Linked DNA regions of Astyanax mexicanus. Each later gene encodes a partner of the first gene's protein in a complex. Links are inferred from orthologs where the notes say so. Each region holds a gene or a part of one and is shown on either strand. Other genes may lie near its edges.

The links.
Region 2: the proteins of rad9a (region 1) and hus1 are in contact, whole or in part, in a crystal structure (PDB 3GGR), measured with the Homo sapiens proteins. The link is inferred for Astyanax mexicanus from reciprocal best matches to the Homo sapiens genes RAD9A and HUS1. Residues at the interface, in NP_004575.1 of Homo sapiens: Leu157, Pro158, Pro161, Val176, Ala186, Lys191, Ala192, Met193, Val194, Thr195, Glu196, Met197, Cys198, Leu199, Gly200, Asp203; in NP_004498.1 of Homo sapiens: Thr84, Asn87, Arg90, Ala91, Lys93, Thr94, Phe110, Ser121, Ser123, Ser126, Arg127, Ile128, Val129, Thr130, His131, Asp132, Ile133, Pro134, Ile135.

The regions. Positions count from the first base shown.
Region 1 is NC_064417.1:22,987,820-22,998,218, forward strand, and holds the start of rad9a (cell cycle checkpoint control protein RAD9A), read right to left. Parts: upstream 4,429-10,399; 5' UTR 4,113-4,428; coding exon 4,079-4,112; intron 2,523-4,078; coding exon 2,452-2,522; intron 2,359-2,451; coding exon 2,236-2,358; intron 1,467-2,235; coding exon 1,352-1,466; intron 1,092-1,351; coding exon 992-1,091; intron 866-991; coding exon 759-865; intron 1-758. Other genes in the region: zgc:113229 (protein starmaker), read left to right, coding at 6,366-7,085, 8,781-8,944, 9,258-9,909. UniProt on the Homo sapiens protein: Component of the 9-1-1 cell-cycle checkpoint response complex that plays a major role in DNA repair. The 9-1-1 complex is recruited to DNA lesion upon damage by the RAD17-replication factor C (RFC) clamp loader complex.
Region 2 is NC_064408.1:108,691,088-108,700,892, forward strand, and holds the start of hus1 (checkpoint protein HUS1), read right to left. Parts: upstream 4,575-9,805; 5' UTR 4,474-4,574; coding exon 4,422-4,473; exon of another isoform or gene 4,418-4,421; intron 2,886-4,417; coding exon 2,758-2,885; intron 2,029-2,757; coding exon 1,852-2,028; intron 1,592-1,851; coding exon 1,484-1,591; intron 1,139-1,483; coding exon 1,064-1,138; intron 1-1,063. UniProt on the Homo sapiens protein: Component of the 9-1-1 cell-cycle checkpoint response complex that plays a major role in DNA repair. The 9-1-1 complex is recruited to DNA lesion upon damage by the RAD17-replication factor C (RFC) clamp loader complex.

The DNA of each region.
Region 1 (10,399 bases):
ATAGATATAGCTCAGTCTAGACACTCTGGAAGCATCAAACAATGACCTTGTTGGTGTCAGGGAATTAAGTGCCAAAGGTAATCTTAACAGGTTTTATGTGAGAAACAAACCTAGATTGGGTTTCCCAAAAGGTTTTTTTTTAGCATAAAAGTAATTCCTAAGCCCTATCCAGACAGAATTAGTTTCTTTTTTTTTTAAACGCAAGGTGCTAAACTCAGATGTGGATCCAGACAAAGAACTGGATGGAGTTCAGCGAAAAACATTAAATCAGCCTGTAAAAAAAACACATACTTGGTCACTACAGATGGAAATAAAATCACAGAGGACCTCCATAAAAGATCAAATTACCCCAGGACCCCCTGAGAAACTAATCCTGTCCAAATAGGGCTTTAGATGGTCAAGCGCACTTCACAATGAGCACTCTCTATCCATGTTAAGATGTTCTTAACACGAAGATGCTTTTGGGAAACTGGGGCCTGAACAAGACCTAAACACACCCGCCTCTACAAGTCATGTTCAGAAACCTAAACCCATCCTGGCTTAAACCAATCACAATCACTGCAGCACAATGAAATAATTAGCAAATTACATCCCAAACAAGAATCAGACCTTGTCTGACCAATGCACTGGACTACAAAGGGTAAATGTATGTAGCTAAAATTGTATCAAGATACGATCCAGACGAAGTAACCCCAACAAAAACGCTGTCTTTGTCTCCTGAACAACAAAATAAGCAGGAACTCTCCCAAACCAATCACCTGCATCATCCTCCAAGTGATTCCTGAGCCACACTCGTTCTCCATTCACAGACACATTCACTTCTTCAAGTGATGGAGGGAAGTGCAAAACTGTGTCCACCCACAACCTGCAAACAGGAGAGGTATAATCAATCAAAGAGGGCCAGAGAGAAAAGAGACACTGGTCAGAAAATGATGCCGTGATGGAGAGTTTTTGATAGAGGAAATAGAGAGACTCAAAGAGTAGTGCAGACCTGGGCTGGGCTCGCAGCACGTTAGCACAGTTCTCCTTGTCAAACACTGCTTGTAAGCTCTCGCAGTCTTGGAAGGAGAGGTTGTGTGTCTTCAAAAGCCCTGAAACACACAGACACACACAAACATAGGTACATCTGATATATTTTAAAGGTGGCAATTCCTAATGTTTATGGTATATAACCACTTTAAGTCTCTAACACTACAATAACTTACAAACCAAACTGCAGCTACTTAGCAGTATGCAATAACAAATTACATAATTTTTACATAACTTTATTTTTACGTCTGACAAAAAACATGTAAAAGCATGATAATGTGTGGATTTTTACATCCCAAGTACATATGTGAAGTGTTTTTACCATGTTTGCAGTGTAAAGTGACAGTCAACCGATTCTTCTCACTGTTCAGTTCAATACGACACTTCTCCACCGAGCGCTCTAGAGAGGACAGAGACCTAAACACGGCCTGCATGCTCTGTAAGGGAGAATAAGAGAGACAACTAATGGCCTGCACAAGTTGCAATTAGGACTGTCGCATAAACACATTTTTCAGGACGATATATTGTGCCAGAAATGATTGAGATAAATGATAATATTCTCAGTATAAAATGCCACAACAGAAAATGCTTTTTCCCTGCTTCTGGGCTCCCAAAAGAGCCGGCGAAAGAGCAGCACAGCGCAACTTGCTGAATTCTAGCTGCGGTTTATTCTTATGTTAACAAACCTATGCGAAAATCCAATGACTATTATCGACGATCTGCAAAAATGATTGCGATTTAAAAAATGATTGTACGATAAGTTGATAACGTAGTTATCGCGACAGGCCTATTGCAATAGCAATAACGCATAATGTGCACAAGTATTTTGGATCTAAAACTTTAAAAGTCAAATACTGCAGGTTTTGTGCATGCATAAATATTAGTCAAGCACCAGTATGGAAATTTTAGGCTAATGCTGCAAATACTATATAGAAGTGTTTTTTTTTTAATTGGTTCAGTAATGATTAAACAATTATTAAGCAATTATTTGCCAATATCAATATTGCTTTGATGTTATTCTATATCCCTTGTCAAAAACAACACATCATAATGTGTTTACTCAGACTGTATCTGTAACAGGACTGTAGGACATCTACACAATTTTGGTCAGATGTTTCAAAACTTTCAATCAATCAGTTAAACTGTTAATCTGTTAGAACAGTTTTTCGGGATAAACTACAGTGGAAAGGAAAGTGTGGTTGTTACCTTTATGGGCATTTTGCAGCGGAAGGCATGGTCAGAAGGGGCCTGATAGCGCTGAAAGAACAGCGGAGAGAGCAGAAAGCAGGCAAAGGCTGATCTAGAAGAGTTCACTGCACGCAGAGTTAACTGTAGAATACAAAAACAATTAATTAGCACTTTTAACCAAACTACAATATATTCTTGAACCACATTCACTTATACAGATACACAAACACTAACCCCATCTTCAACAGGCTCCAGGTAAAGTTCCTCTCCAATCTTTGAAAGTGAGTGGATTGCTTTTGCCAGCACTGCAAAATACAAATGACATGACCTTAAATGACATACAAAGATACACACTGAAAACACCAAACACTATATAGAGATATATTATAGATAAAATAATTTTTTATTATTTCCTATACAGCAAATAACGTTTAATACACTTTTTTAAATACATGCTTGTGCCATCAGGGAAGAAAAAAATCCATTGATGGAAAGACCTGGTCTATATTCAGTATATTCAGGAAGTCAGCTAACCTCATTCTTTCAGCACATACCGTTGCTGAACCTATACCTTTTTTATAATCATCGGCATCAATTAATATGGCTAATATTTTAGACCAATACTTGACGTATTTATTGTATTCCGGAAAGAACCACATGACACTGGCCGCACTAATACATTTGGCCAACAGTGGCTACGCTACTATATTTAAGCTAAATTGCTACCCTCTAATGTGGGCCAGTAAGTCAACCAACTCTGTTTAAATGTTCTAAAACAAGCCATCAGTCAGGCTAATGCTAGTGACAAGTTATATTTTACTCTCACTCAATGTTACTAGAGCCTGTTTTGTAAATATATTGCTATCTCACTTGCATTTAGGGATTTTTCCGTTCTTCATTAAAGAGGCACTAAGGCCTAAACCATATTTTTTTTTCATTAGTAGCTGAAATGAGTTTCTTTAAAGTAATGAAACATACCGGTCCTGCCTAATTTTTTTATAAACCTTCCCTAACCTTTAAATGCTTTTATTGCACCCTTGCAATTTTGTAACGTGGACACTCTCGATATGCAAATTAGTCAATCAATAAGACACATTGCTCAGCCTAATCAGCCCTCCCTTCTGCCCCACCCCTAAACCCATACATCACCAAATGCCCCTCCCAAACTACTCCAATTTTTGGGCATTTTCCAAATTTGAGCTGAGGGGTACAGTCAGCTAAAATCAGGGGGTTTAGTTCTCATTTCCTTCTGAAAAATGGAATTCATGACATAGAGGGTTAATTGATAATCTAGTCTCTCTGTAAATTATAAATGTGTATATTATTAGTATTGACAGATGTATTGCCACATCGATGCATCTCTATGCTATTAGGGCTGCAGCCATTAGTTGATATGTTATCGACAATGTTGATTATAAAAAACGTGTAGACTTCAAATAATCATTGTCTACTAATTGCCTATTAGTAACACTAAACAAATTACTGTGGACAGAAACCCAGTGGGAGAAGAGTACTGAGCTCACACAGCTTACACAGAACTCGACCTGAGTCTCCAAAAGTGCCCAATAGCAGCACTTTACACATTTATCCAAAGCTCTGGAGATTTAAACAGCATTTATATCTTGTGTTCAGATGTTTCTATTATTTTGAAGCGATAGAGAAAGCTAGAAACAGAAGCCATACCCACAGTGAGCAAAGCTAGAGGGCAGGGCAGAAATAATCGATAACTAATCTGAAAAATAATCGTCCAATTAATCGACTACCAAAATAATCGTTAGTAGCAGCCCCACAAGATTTAATATAGAGTTATCTGAAGCAGTAACTGCAGCTTCACCGAGACCAGGTTCACCGCTTACTTTACCTTTCACGTTCCCTCCTGTTGTGACGCAGTCCATCCTGCTATTGCTGTAGCGTTCAGGTAAACCAGTCCAGTCAGAGATTCGGCTCCATTAATCCGGATCAGGTAAATAAACACCATGCAGTAACTCTACAGTGTGAACAGGAGAGCAGAGCTCATACCCCGAAGGAGGAGACCCGCGTGTTCTCATGAGAAGCGGTGAGTAAACACGCCATGCTGAGAGAATATCTGGGTGTAATAATAACAGTAAAACAGTAAATAACTACTAATATTGATCTCAGAAACTTAGTTAAACACTGCTGTCAGTTTACAGACCCCTGAGTCGCGCGCTAACCTCGCCCGGACCAATCACAGCGCTCTGAGTCATACTCGCGCGCCTGTATCGGCTACCACAGCTTGTTTACAGAGAGCCTGTCCACTCCAGATCACCCCTGATATATCAGAAAATTACTGTGCACCGCTAGAGGGAGTCCTACATGAATACAGGTGAATAAAGCTACACGGTTAAAATCTCAAATTTAAAGCAGTTATTAACTACTTATTTGTGGTATTCTTTTAATTTTAGAAAGTAGAATGAATATTTCTCTAAAGAGCAAATAAAACATTTCTGTATGTTTTATTTTTATTACAAAAAACGGTTATAATCACTAAAGGAGCTACTAGCAGTATTGCTACTGTGACTGGGTATGTAGTTAGCTAAACTGATACAGCACTGAGTTTAAAATGTTTCTAACTAGTTTCCTCAGTGGGTGTTCCCTGTCGTGAACCTAAAAGTGAACCTAACTACCCTAACTGCCCATAAAAATCCTATTTTTTTTTTCATGTTCATTGTGTACTGGCATGAATAGGGGCCCAATGACATTAATAGTGTACAGTGCCCAGAATTTGCTGCTACGCCCCTGCTCCTCTCTCCCTGGTTCCTCCTCCCTCGTGCTTCTCTCCATTGTGTTTGTCTTGCGTCCCAGGATAGCCTTTGTTTACCCTGCCTGTTGTTTTCCTCGCTTATGCCTGGCGTGATCTTTGTTTCCACCCGTTTTCGCTTTACACCCGTTTTTGTTTCCCACCCGTGTTCAGTTTGCACCTGTTTCCATTATGCACCCGTTTTAATTTTCCACCTGTTTTCCGTTTCGCACCCGTTTTCGTTTTCCACCTGTTTTTGAACCCACTTGGTTTAACATTTGTTTTATAAAAAAAAAAAAAAATAAACATTAAACATTAGTTTTCATATTTAGAATGTGTGGTGATGTGTGTTATATGTTTCCATACTACAATACCCAGTATCCCTGGTGGGCAGCTCAGGAGTTGGCTGGGGGGTTTGGCTTCCTTGGCGGGTTAAGTTAGCTCACACTGTACTAGTTAGTGGAAAATAAAGCAAACGTGGAATACTCTATGCATGGTGTTGGAGTGATTTCATGACAGAATGTAATTGGGCTTGAAAACAATGAGTGGAATGAAAACAATGAGTAATCATTTTTTTTAGTTTGAAAAACAGATGAGTCTATCAGTTTAAATACTTGTCTAATTATAGATTCTGTAACTAAGTTCTGAAAGCTCTGCATTTTTTTGTTATTTGCGCTATTTCTGGTTTTCTGAAATCAAATGCTATAAATGGCAATATTTTTATTTTATTTAGAGAAATGTTGTCCATAGTTTATAGAATTAAAAAAAACAATGTTCATTTTACTTAAAGATATACCATATACGTTATATATTGGATTATTCTTCCAATGTATTGGCAAATTAAAACACAGCTCTGGTTTTGCAGTGACAGTGACCTGAAGAAAAAAAATAGAAACAGTGATATACATGCCATAGAAGAAGGAGAGATGTCAACTTGACGTACTCGTCTTTCTTGTCTGTCTGGGTCTGTCTTTAACACACCTACCTATCTGACTGGCCTGGCCTTTTCTCTCTCTCTCTCTCTCTCTCTCTCTCTCTCTGTACACTGATGATTCCTTCCTATAATAGGGGCCAATTCTCAGACACACTTCACTCTTCTCACTCTTTTTGAGAAGCTGAAGCAGAATGTAGAAGGAACTGCAGCAGTGTGGAGGTACCAGGAGGTACTGTGGAGCTACAGTGTGAGGAGTTATGAGTGGAATATAATGAAGAACCTGGAAGTAAGAAAACTGGAAAACTGAAGCATATTGACTTGCTGTGGGATGTGCCTCAGGATTTGATTGATGTGTATGTGAGTATGTGAGGGATGTAGTACTTTGCTGGTATCTGGTTGTGTTGAAGGTCTTTGAGAGTGTGCAAAAAACATGTAAGGCAGGCTTTCACTTTCAAGATGGCCCAGTCGAGCCCTGTTTCAGACACTCAGACCTTGCTGCAGTCAATGCTCCAAAGACTGAAACTCCAGACCCAAACTGAAAGGACACACAACCAAGAGCAAGCTCTTTCTTCAAATGTGAAGCTTAATGGCGGGTCTGGAGAAGGTTCAGCTGTGTACCAGTTTGGTGATTCCATTGATTCTAAGCAGCAAAGAACTTCTCCATCCAATTGGAGACACGTGGGGAGTCCATGGAGTCTTCAAACATCTCGCGAGCCTCATAGTCCTGGGACTTCACCTACATCACCAGAACCTGTTTCTTGGTCAATGAATGATGATGATCTCCCCAAATGGGAGAGAAAGCAACTCAAATTTACTCTGAGAAAGGTGAGTGATGACAGACGTAGCATGTCCTCCACAAACACATTAGAACAGACCACCCTGAACTCCCCCAGCTCCTCAGTCCCACCCCCCACACCACCCACCCCAGGCAGAAGAGCATCACAGGAGCGAAATGGTCTCAGTGGTGTGTGGAATGGAGGTGTAGGGGACTCCAGAAGGGACAGTATAAATGCTGAAGACAAAATGACACAGACGCCAATGACAAGGACCAGTAAGAGGAAATGGGGCAATTCAGGACAGAAGAGATGGACCCAGAAGGTGAAAGAAAGATGGCAGGAGAGACACAAGAAAGAAAGAGGTGCCAAACAGAAAGAGGAACCAAAAGAAGTGCCTAACGTGAGTTTAAACTTTAAGATTCTTGAATCTATTCTTTAATATGCCTTAAAAATAAAGAAATATACATATATACGACGTGACAAATACACTGAAATTAAGTGTACAGCACTGCAGTGGGTGGTTATAATAGTGACCAGCAGTGTCTGGCTAGAATTATCCATGAGAACAAACAAGCTTAATCACAATCACATTCATATTCAATGAAGGAGACCAGACACACATACATGTTCCTCATTAGGTTAATACAGTGTTCTTTAGCTTTAATTCAATATGAAAAATGTAATGGGAAATTATACTAGTTCCTGGCATGTCAGTATATGCATCTACTTACAGAGGCATGAAGAAATTTTGGCAACTCAAAAAGATGAAAGTAAAGATGACCTGAAGTCATAAAATGGCATAAAGATGATATTTTAAGCAAGAATATATTTGTATTTCCATTTTTTTTTTACAGTTTTAAACTTTTATAAAGGAAAAGCACAGATCTAAATGTTTGGGATGCATGGTCAATAGTTGTAAAAGTAAGGAAAGTTTTCCTTACTTTCAACACCTTTTAATCCAGCTAATCTTGTTTCTGTTCTTGTTTGGAGGATTTATGTCCATTCTTCTTTTCAAAAAGTTCTGGTTCTGTGGGATTCTTGGGCTATCTTGAACGTGCTGCTCTTTTGAGTTCTATTTTTAAGTATTTTCTAGGAAGTTTTGTTTGAACAGCCACAGTAAAACCAGCTTGCACTGCTTTGGGGATTTTAATGAAAGTTTGGTATAATTATCCTGCTGTAAAATACTCTATAAAAAACCCTTTAATATCAGTAACAATGTTGAGCTTTTGAATAATGGCATAATTTATTTTTTCAACATGTTTACTGTTGTTTTAATAAATAGATAAAGTCTAATTGATATTTGCTTACTGGATAGGTGAAGAAAGTGAATAAAGATGAATAAAAGATGAGAGTGGCAACCCTTTCAGTCTATTTTAGGCCTTTTATCATAGCCTTCTTATCTTTCAATGATAAATGTGATGCTTAGTAGCATTATCTCTAACACAAGCAATATGAACTTTCTTCACGGACCATTAGAACATTAATTAAAGCCACAAGTGTAGAACAAACAATGTATTGGTAACACAAAACCAAACTGGTTAGGCTTAAATGTTGCAGGTAAATTTGAATCAACATTAGTGGTGATATTACTGCATTTAAATAATTTATTTTTCCATGCGTGCAAAACAATCTAAAAGGGTGACTTATACACCCCCATATTTAACAGATGAAGAAGAAAAATCTGCATTTTTTCCCACTATGCATAAAGATTTTATATCCCAACTGATTAAACTTAGTTTGAAAACAAAGGTGAAAGTTTGCAGTTTACAAAGTTTGTAGAATACAAATAGTATTATCGCGTTTTAGACAACACTTTAAAGCAGCATAAGGTTGGAGGCTTTGGTGAAACTTATGTGAGAACCAAAGATCGACTGGCCATAGGGAGTACATAGGACAGTTCCCGGTGGACTGCTCTGTGTGTGGGCTGCTATAAAAACCAAGCAAACTTATTTGTCATAGACAAATATGAAAGTTCTGTCTTTACTTATAGATGTTTACTGAGACTCTGACTCATACATACGCGCTTATTTATTTAATTTAAGCAGATTTATAATCAGATTTACGATCATTCTTCATTATTTTCTTCTTTATTCAGAGCAACCACTGTCCAAACACCCCAACCAGCCCCAACACCTCCAATGAAAACGCACTCTCCACCAACACTGCTGCTGCACTTATTGACGAGGAAAGGATTGACCAGCACCAGCCAATCAACAATGGGCCTGATAAAGCCCCTCCCAGCCCCCTCGATCACATGAGGTAAATACAAATTCAATAGCAGTGACATTGTTCTGCTGAAATATGAATCAGGCGTATTTATCATACCACAGCTGTCATCCTAAACAACACCGCTGTCACTCTCTTTTCTGAAACCAACACACCCTCTGAGTTTTTGCTGTGTGTGTATGTGTGTGTGTGTGTGTGTGTGTGTGTGTGTGTGTGTGTGTGTGTGACTGAGTAATAGTGGGTGAGGGAGAATGGAGAGTGAGTAATTTAGACCTATATTACAGTAGATACATTACATTACAATACATGTCCATACATGCATAACTTATGCTGTGTTTTCCTGCAGTGAACCCATATTCTCATTTGACTCTTTTAACCTGATGGAGGAGATTTTCACCAGTCAGGAGTGGGCCAAGTTCTTCCCGTCCAGTACCAGCAGCCAATTAGAGCCCACTTGCATCAAACAAGACAAAGCCACAGACTCACAAAGCAATATTAGCCAATCACATCAAGCAGAGCAGAACACAGGAAGTATGTGGGATTTTAAATGGCCACATGCCTCAGATCTGAGAACCGATTCATCACAAATCAGCTCAGACAGTTTACAGCAGGATATGGACACTTCTGACCACACCTCTGACCACACCATGGACCAAACACAGACTCCAGACTTCATTCTGCCCTTCTCTCAAACCTTCCAGTTACTCAAGGACCAATCAGAACTTTTTGACTGGAGTTTAGACCAGTCGCACAGCATGGATTTGGGTCTCAGCCAATCAGAAAATGACAAACAACAAAAATACCAGCCACAGTTATTGCATCAAAACTGTCACATGCATCAAAACTGTCAGCCAAAAACAGCAGAAACAAGTATTCAGGAGTCGCCATCCAATCAACACACTCTGAACCAGTCACAACTGCCTAAACCAAACCAAACACAAGCAGAAACTGTGCAGCATGAAGATGTTATTCCTCTTTTGGACTTGTCATATCTTCAGGTATGGCTTGAGACAGCACCTATTTCTGTACAGTATGATTTCTAGAAATTAAAATATACTAAAAATCAACAGAAATTGAAATTAAATAAAAGTGGCAAGAAAAAATCTTCATATTCTCCATGAATATAAAACATAGGTGAAAGGGGCAAAATACTCCTATCCTACTCCTATTAAATTTGGCCATATATCATGTATTAATAGAATTCTCTCATGGACTTACACAAAGATCTGTGACATCTTTACCTTTAAGAGTGTATTAGTCTAGAATCAAAATACACGTCTTAATTCAGCTTGTTCTGAAAAATTTTGGTATGAAATATAGTAAAAAAAAAAAAAAAAGCCCAAATGTGAGAGGTGTGACCAATTCATTAAATATTACTTTCTTTGTTAATTTATTTTCACAAACAAAGATACAAAAAAAAACATTATTGTTATTGACAAAGTCTACCTATCCCAAACAAAGTGTGACCAATACATAATACATGAATAT
Region 2 (9,805 bases), on another chromosome or scaffold:
ACAGTCACAGCGTTGTTACACCATTCCGTGTTGATGTAAACACACACGCCTCCACCGCGGGTCTTCCCGGATAGAGCCGCGTTCCTATCCGCTCTGAACGCGGTTAGCCCGGCTAGCTGAATGCCGCTGTCCGGAATGTTGTCGTTCAGCCACGATTCCACAAAAACCAAAGCACAGCAGTCTCTGAACTCACGCTGGGTTGTTCGCTGGAGTCGGATGTAGTCCAGTTTATTGTCAAGGGAACAGACGTTTGCCAGAAAGAGCGATGGTATAGCCGGCCGGCTAGGACTAGCCTTTAGCCTCGCGCGGATCCCAGCTCTCTTTCCGCTCGCACCGCTTGCGATGGCACTTCCGCTGGGCTCTGGCGTCAGAAAACACAGCGGGCTGGCGGCCTGGGTCTCTTAGCAGGCTAAGCTCAAGTAGCGTCTGCAGAACCTCGTCCGGTAGCGTGTTTTCTGGCTGATTTCTCCACTGTAGCAGGGTCTGGCGGTGGTAGAACATGTGCACGGGTGTTCCAATGCACATATTTGCAGGAATTAAACGGAAAAAACGACAAATAGTAACACAAAAGCACCATTTAACGGACCCGGAGCGGCCGCTGCGTGTTAATGCGCCGCCATCTTGGGTGAGTCTGAAGAGACTCAAATCTGATTTTGTGCTCAGTGTGGCTCAGATCTGATTTTTTTCAACGTCTGTTTGACCGTGCCAGCTGTGCAGCTATAGCTGTAAAAACAGCAAAAGCAAACAGCCTGGCCTTTTTTCTCCTCTTCGACCCGATCACTGTTTACTCTCCACTCCAGCTAAAGATGCTCCACATATGAGATGCTAACTCATCCATTTCCCTTTATAAAACTATGAGTCGTCTCTCTAACATGACGTTTTTTGTTGTTGGTGAAGAAGGAGGCGTTTATACAAGTATTAATGTGCGCATGTGAGATTTTTCAGGTTCAGGGACAGATTTGTTCACATTAAACAGATACAGCTCACTTACATTTGGAAATCTGATTTAAGCAATGTGGCTGGTAATGTGAACATAGCCTAAGTCTCATTTAATTACACTTACCAAATAGTTGGAAAGGTTCTTCATTCTGTCCACCACACTTTTCATGGTCTTCAGAGGGGGTAAATATATGCTAACCTAAAAAAGCAAGCCAGAGTTACACGTTTAATACCGTGACTGGGAGAGAAAAGGAAATACCACCAGTATAACAAAGAGAGAGGTAATAGAATGGCTGCACTACCAAGAACAAAAGACAAATAATAACAATAATCACAGTTTTGACCCTAGCTATGAACTACCTGCTAAAGACTTTGTGAGAATTCTAATGTTTTTAAGAATCACTCGTTCACCTCAGTAGCACTATAACAAAGCTTATGTGGGTTTGAATGTCTACTGTTACTGATAATGCTGTTATAAGAAAATGTGACATTTATTTTTATTTTTTTTGACAAAAAAAGGCCAGACTGTTGGTGGATCACTTACATCAAAGTCCGGCACAGTAGGTTCCTTAAAGTCGTGCCAAAGTCTTTTGGGAATGATGTCCACAGGGATGTCATGAGTCACGATACGATTGATGGAGGACAGTGAAGGCTAGAATCAAAAGATCAAATAAATCAAGTCAGCAGAAGAAGATAAATGTCTGTTTAAAGATCAGTTGCTACTTCAGGATGAATTTAATCAATACCTTTATAGATAATTGTTTTAAATTACGAATAATCTAATAATATAATAGAAAAAATAACTAACTTTTTTATTGATTTTGAATAAAATGGATTGAACATTTCAATGTGATGCCATGGATGCCAATGATTTAAATTATACACATAATTAAACTCATGTTGGGCTCTTACCAGTTCTGCAGCTAAGGTGAGGCATGGACCATGCTTCTTTGTTAGTTTTATTTTGACAGACTTGGCATTTTGTGCTGTTTTTAAAGCTCTGGATAAGTTCTCCGGTGCAACTTCCAAGCAGATTTCATTGGCGTCTGCAGACACACCCTCCAACTGATATTCCTCAAAGAAATTTACCTAAAAAGAGTAAAATTAGAGCATGTAAGTTTTCCTCTGCTTATCTTTAATTTAGGGCTGCAACTAATGATTAGTTGGGTAGTTGACTAATCTGGAGATTATGTTTCTGATTAGTCAATTAGTCAATGATTATTTCTGCCATGCTCTCTATTTCTGCTTTCTGTGGGTATGGTTCCTCATCTTAGCTTTCTCTGTCTTTGCTTTAAATCGATAAAAACAACTGAACAAGGGACTTAAATGTCCTTTAAATGTCCAGAACTTTGCCCTTTAAATGTGGAAAGGGCTGATAATTAATGAGATAATGTGTAATCTGTTTGGGCAGTTTTGGAGATGCAAGCTGAGTTGCGTGTAAACTGTGTGAGGGCCCCCAGTACTTTGTGTAGTGCTGCAAATTAAAGATTATTTTTTATAATCGACTAATCGTTGCAGCCCTATTTCCCTTTATATCAAATGAACTTTATTTGTAGATTTTTTCTGAATCAACCACATTAAATTAGAGCATGTAAATTCCCTTTGCAGAACTGCATTGTTAAGCAAGTAAGAAAATATGGATGATGAATACAGCACGAGCTGACAAACTCTCAGTATTAGCTAAATTATCAGCCAATCACATATTTTGTCAAAAAAAAAATCTGATACTTATAAAAAGTGGATAAAGTTTTCCATCTCTAGCAACTACAGTTGTAACACTTTCGCATAATAACATCAGCTTAATCACTTTAAACTCACCTGTAGTAACTCACACCACATGCTGACTCCCCCATTGGCCACTTTTCCAGAAAGCACAAAGTACATGTTGTCTACAGTGAGCCTTAGCACACATGTCTTTGTGAGTTTTGTAATAGTGTTCACCACACCTGTAGAAACATTTATAGTGGGAATAAAAGCAATGTAAGAAATATATTTCACAGATTTTTTTTGAGATACAATATTTAATTTTTAGTATGCTTCACTGAGGAATTAGAGGATTGCACCAAAGCTTTATTGGAGGTAGTGTTGTAGCAAAAGAGGTAGAAACATAATCTTTGGTAGCACTGATAGCAATAACACTGACAAAGCAAAAGCAAAATGACAGTATTCTGACTCAAACTGAGCAAGGGTGCCGGAAAGGTGGTTTTTAGGTCAACTGTAGAGTGAATGTCATTTTACATCGATTTAACCCAATTCACAATATCAAGCAACTGGAGAAATTGTCTCTGCTGTGTGGATTGCTGATCATCAAAAACTTCACCTCAAACTCCATAACTCCCGAAAGGTACTGTATGGAGAACAATTCTTCTAGAGAACACGGTTCTGCCACTGCCACACAGCTCAATACAGCTGGGGGGGGCAGTATACACCTCTAGTCCACATCTGCCATTAGGCATGGTACCAATAGGTTCAGGTATAACTGCTCCAGCAGGCGGCACTTTTCTTCTACAGGGACTAAGAAAACTATTCCAGTTGAATCTACCTCATGAAGACACTGAGATTAAAATACCAAGAGTGTGCAGATCTGTCCTCAAAGGTAAATGTTCTACTTAGAAGAATCTAAAGTATAAAATATATTCTGGTGTGTTTAACACTTTTTTTCTTTACTAAATAATTCCACACGTTTTTCTGTATAGATTTAACGTTAATACTGTCTTCTAGGGGTGTGCCATATCGTATCATACATGATAATATCGCCAATTTTTTTTTATATCGTGAACGATATTATACTCTGAAATATCGTGCCATATGACCCACCCCTAATTATCATATCATAGTACTACTATATCTACTATAGACAGATTATATAACTTAATCCTGGATATATGGAGATATTTGGAGTGCTTTGCTAGTATCATGACATTCTGAATCATTCTGTTACAAATCTGATAAAATTCTTTTTTATTATATCTCAGATAGCCATATCATATTGCATGCAATAATAAAACTCTAAATATTTTTTTTCTAATTCAGTGTTTTGTCATATCATCAAAAGTATCGTTATCATGAAAATACCATGAAATATCGTGATATTATTTTAGAGCCATATCACCCACCCCTACTGTCTTCTGTGTTAGATTTAACTTACAATCTAAAAAAAATCAAACATATTAAATAAGAAGAGGTGTGTCCAAACTTGTGACTGGTACTGTAACCTATATTTGACATGGAACAAATATCGGTGTAGTTTAGTTAGCAAGCTAGGTTATCCAGATATCCAGATCCACTATATCCATGAACTATCTACACTACTTAGCGTTACAAAATATTTAACGTGAGCTAACCTAAATATCTGAGGGCTAAGAGACACAGCTAGTTAGCTAGCTAGCTTAGCTAGCGTATCTATGCACTTATACACTAAAACCGCGCAACTAGAAACTCGTACAGTCAGTTTTACTGACGGTATCTATCTCTTTACCTACGTGTGAAATGGTTGAGACATCCCACGTCGTTTATCTTCGCTCGAAACTTCATAATTATGCCTTTAACTCAGTAAACCCGCACTGCTGACACTACTACCCCACAACATCTACTGCTACTACTGACAGCCCGCCACTGATCTGAACACAGCAGCGCTCCCTCTGGAAACAACACTCTGATCACTGGTTCCGCTCCAGTTACAGCCTACACATCAGCTCTGTTTTTAGAGTTAAACCAGTTAAATATATTATCTTTACACAAATCTACTGCAGTATCAATTCAGATAAATTATACTATATATTATACTATATATATATTATACTAAATATATATTAAATGTATTATACTTATACATTATACTTATAACTTAAATCCTTTTCCCAAAAAAGTCTACCTAGATTACCTAAATTAGTGTTTTTTTGGTTGGTCTTTTAAGGTTAATGATGAAAACAACCTTTATTAAAGCCTTTCAGACCTGATGAAAAAAGAAATATAAATGCTGTTTCTGTCTGTAATGTGCTCAAAAACAGGATTCAGTGAACAAATACACAAAATAAAAAATAAATACAAAATAATCAAATATAATGTTTGTATTTTTTCTGTTTATTGCCGTCTTTGCTAAACACTTATTTGTATTTAATATATATTTTAATATAATATATATATATTGTAACATGGTATTAATTTTTTGTCCAACAAACATGGTAAAATATATAAATAAATCAAATTATAATCTTTGAGCAGTAAAATACCCATAACATGATGGGAAAAGGTGTCTAATTTATGGCCATATTAGCTGGAATGTTAGCTACCATGTCATACTTCAGTGAGCAGATTTTTATTTTTTCCAAATAAGTGGGTGGGGCTAATCTGCTGTTTGATTGGCTAGTAAAAATGTCTATTCTGAATAATATAAAATCAAATTAAATCATTTTTTTTATTTGTATAGTGCTTTTTACAGCTGTTGTTGTCACAAAGCAACTTTACAGAAATGTGATCACAGGACAGCGAATCAGGCAAAATATAAAACAAAAAAAATACAGAATACAGAACCTCCAGTGAGTGCGGAGGCAAGAAAAACTCCTTCAGAATATGGAGGAGAAAGAAACCAGGCCTCACATATAAGAAGGGACCATCTTACCATTGGTCAGAAAGCTTTTAAATGAATGTTAAAAAGACATCATACAAACCATGAAATGTCTTGGGTTCATAGTACTGTCTGCAATCAAATAGTAGTTAAAGAAAAAGTGTGAAACAGTGTATTTATTTTTATTTGCACTTGATTGGTTTAGCATATCTTGAGGACCAATTAAACCGATATATAGAACTATTATTTCTATGAATGAGGAACTTAAGTATGGGTCTAAAGGGTTAAACACTTAACATCTCTCAAATCTGAGTCAAGTATGCTGTCCGTGGCCATTGTGTTCTGTTACACAGGATTTCACAGTAGCAGTACACAGTAAAAATACACTGCTGGCTCTACTTTATGCTGAGACTCTGTGATTTAATGTTCCTCATTAAATGTGGCAGCAGAGAGTCCCCTTTTTCACAGGTTATAGATTTGCTTTATGAGATGTTGAAATACAGGTTGTTCACACAGTTCTGCTGGGAGTCACATTTTACTGCATATAAAAGTGTGTGTGGAGGTGCTTCACTTGATCCATTGAATAGAAAAAGGCATTTAAATGCAGCAGCAAAAAGCAATATAGAAAAGAATAAGCTAAGATATATTTACAAGAAAAAATACAACGCAATAGAAAATGATATGGTATCTGCAACAATGAGAGGTCAAGTAAAACATGAAACAAGAGTTTCAAGAGTGAAATACTGAAAGAAACGTTTCTAGTGTCTAGAAGTTTTGACTGCAGGACCTTTCTGAGCTGATCATGGTATAATGTGTAAGAAACTATTTTCTCTATATGCTTCCTAGTACTGGAGGTGTTCAGAAGAAGCTGGGTGAAACGCTTACCAGCACGTCTTTATTGCGGCCTAGTGACCACAATCAGGCCCATTTCCACCACAAAAATATAAATACTGTCTGGATGATACAGGGATAATTTATGCACTTGTCTAATTTTGTTTAAAGATTTATTTAACACTTTCTGTAAATCCTATAAACTTGATTTTACTTCTCAAAGATCACTGTGTTCATCTGCTATATGATATTTATCTGAAATTGCTGATCAGAACAACCAATGATTTTTAAAGGAAAATCATAAAAATTATCAGAGGTGCCCAAATTATTCATACCACTGTATGATTAAAAATTATATCACAATATTTTTGGTCACATTTTTTACATTTTCGGATGATGATATATTTTTTTATTAATATGAACAATATAAAAGTTTTAGAAAAACTGCCAAGAACACCCACATCTTTTCGAACAGTATTTTTGCCAAATCATGTACTGCACCCTGTAATGAACATCAGTCAGGGACAGATGCTGTTGATAATTTATATATATATTAAAATATAAGAAAATCATATCACTGTTATTAAAAGATTTTATACATAGCATGTTGCTATGATATTATTTTTAGGTGTTTTTTGAGATTTTGAGAGGTTATGTTGAGTCTGCTTTCTTGTGCGTTTATACGCTTTGGAGATGATTTTTACAAAATGTTTGTTTTTTAAGTTTTTTAAGTTTTTTTTTATGTTATCCAGAGAAAATGTCATTATTTTGAAAAATGGTATTCTGTACTGACACATCATGACTAACTGACTCAGCAATATGTTAAATCCAAACATTTAAAATAATTAAAGGAGAACTCTGGTGTGAAATTGACTTTGGTTGTAGTAAAGCTTATTAAAGATTACTAACCTTTATTGAATTTCCCACTCTGTTCTCCTGCAGCTTTTCGAAATCCAGCAATTTTGATCTATTTGTCCAAACACCCTTTAAACAGGGTGATATGGGGCATATTCTTGCCCCTGCAGATACATTGCTTTGCTTTTTACACCGTTATCCAGGCTCAAAGTAGCTCCACACCTCATTGGTAGAATCAGGAGAGCCTTGATATTTAAAACGATGAGGCATTAAGAACTTATTAAGAACTGCACAAGAAGCTTATTAAAAACCACTGTTTACAACCTGTAGCATAACCGACATCTCTGGACGCCGCAATCGTAAAGTAAAATCATGATCAGTAGAGTGACGAGCACTACTGATTAAAATATACTTTCTTTGCAAATTTTGTGTTTAATGTGAAGGATTGTAGATTTTTATCTTAAAGGACACAACAGTCACATCCTTCAGTTCCTCAGCAATGAAGAACATGTTTATTGGCTTCATTTAAAGGATTCTACTGAACAGAACAGCCTACAGTGACGCAACAGTGAGGAGATGCAGCCTTTCTGATCTCCAGCCTGGACTCCGGCATGCAAATAACGTACAGCATAAAGCCGAAGGTCACAACACGAGCAGGTGCACAGCATCCAGTTCACCATCCCAGGAGTGACCTGCCCCTCTATAGGCTACCCTGATTGGTCACTGTTGCTATGGATACCAGTCCACCTGCACTGATTTAATGCACATTGGGCAGACAGTGACAAACTGGCCAGTTACCGATCTCCTTCACTTCTTTAAAAGGCCGCTACTGCTGCTGGAACTGTGTTCTTAAATCAGTGAGAGATGGAGCAGCAGCTGCGGAAGGAACCCTTCTGAGGTCATTTCAAGATCAAGGATTTAATATGAATGTGCAAGAAAATGTGCAAGTGTTACACGAGAGCCTGAGATTACATCTAAGTGTGTGTGTCTCACAGGCAGTGAGGAAGGGAATGCATTATGCACATGCATTACCCTCTGTGGCATTTTATTTTCTATTGCTGTGAGTGAACCTATATCTTCATATTGCATATTACATTTTGACCGGGTGTGCATGTCAACTTAGAACTCATGTAAGAGTCACATATGGGCTAATTAATTTGAATAATTAATTAATTAAAAAATAATAATTTAGTTAAAAAGGCTATAATATGTTCAATGAGAATTTATAATTATAGTATTTTCTAAAATGCATAACTTAGTAATGTAAAACTTTTACAGAACATTTCTGTATTTTTGGCTTCCATCAGTAATATGTCGTTTCCTCTCATGCATGTTAGTAGCCAGATTGCTGCAACAGAGTTTTTAACCGAGCTTTATGAGTCAAGTGTAATGTTTATCTTTGATTTTTATAAGGGAACTTTAAAAAGAAGTTTTTGACTCTATAGTTTTATTTTTGTTTTGTTTCAAATACTGGTTGTTAGACTGACAGTGGTACAAAAAGATTTACACATTTCCACTACAGCTGATCTCCTGAAATTAGGACAGCTTTAGCTAGTATCTAGTGGTGTCAGCAGTAAAATACTGTACATATGTATGGATGTAATTTTCCAACATGATAACAAACACAAACACACAAGAAGACAACTGCTTTACTGAGGAAGCTGAAGACAAAGGTGGACTGAAGTATGTCTTTAGATGTAAATCCCAACTGAGCACCTCTGGGGCATCCTCACACAGAAGGTGGAGGACCGAAAGGCCTCTATCATCCACAAGCTCTGTGATGTCATCATGGAGGAGTAGAAGAGGATTCCAGTGACAATCTGTGAAGCTCTAGTGAACTCCTTTCCCAAGAGAGTTAAGGCAGTGCTGCTCTACTCAGTTTTCTTGCCGGAGTTTAGACATTAATGGCTGTGTCTTGAGTTATTCTGAAGGCACAGCAAATTTACAGTTATACAAGCTGTACACAAAGTACTTTACATTGTATTTTCAGTGTTGTCCAATGAAAAGATATAGTAAAATATTTAAAAATATGCTAGAGGTGTACTTACTTCTAAGAAATTATGTATGTATATATGTGTGTATATGTATAGTGATAAAAATAGACAGGTCATTTTATATAGGAAAAACTTGCAGGACAACTCATCTTACAGGAGAAACACAAACCATATTTTCCTGTTAAATTACATCCTCAATTCTAAGTTGGAGTGCTGTGTAAAAAGTAAAAAAATGTATATAAATGGGTTTATTCACAATAAAACATAGAACATCAAATGCATTTTACCATTTTATGAGAAACATTACAACATTTAGAAACAAAAATTGGTATAGAAACAGCATTTTAAATTGACAGAAAAAATGCACATATATTTACCAATCTACAAAAAAAACTGCACCTAAAAATTGTGTAAACAGTTTTTGAAAAAAGCATTTTAAGCATCATGCACTCGTATGACAACAGTGGCACAATGTTACATTAACATTTAAGATTATTTATAATAATAATACAAACCAATGGCAGCCTAGTAAACCACATTTACTATTCAGATTGTTTGTGTTTTTATTTGTACTGTATTTCTTTGCAAATAATTTCCTTTTTTATTGTATTTATTACAT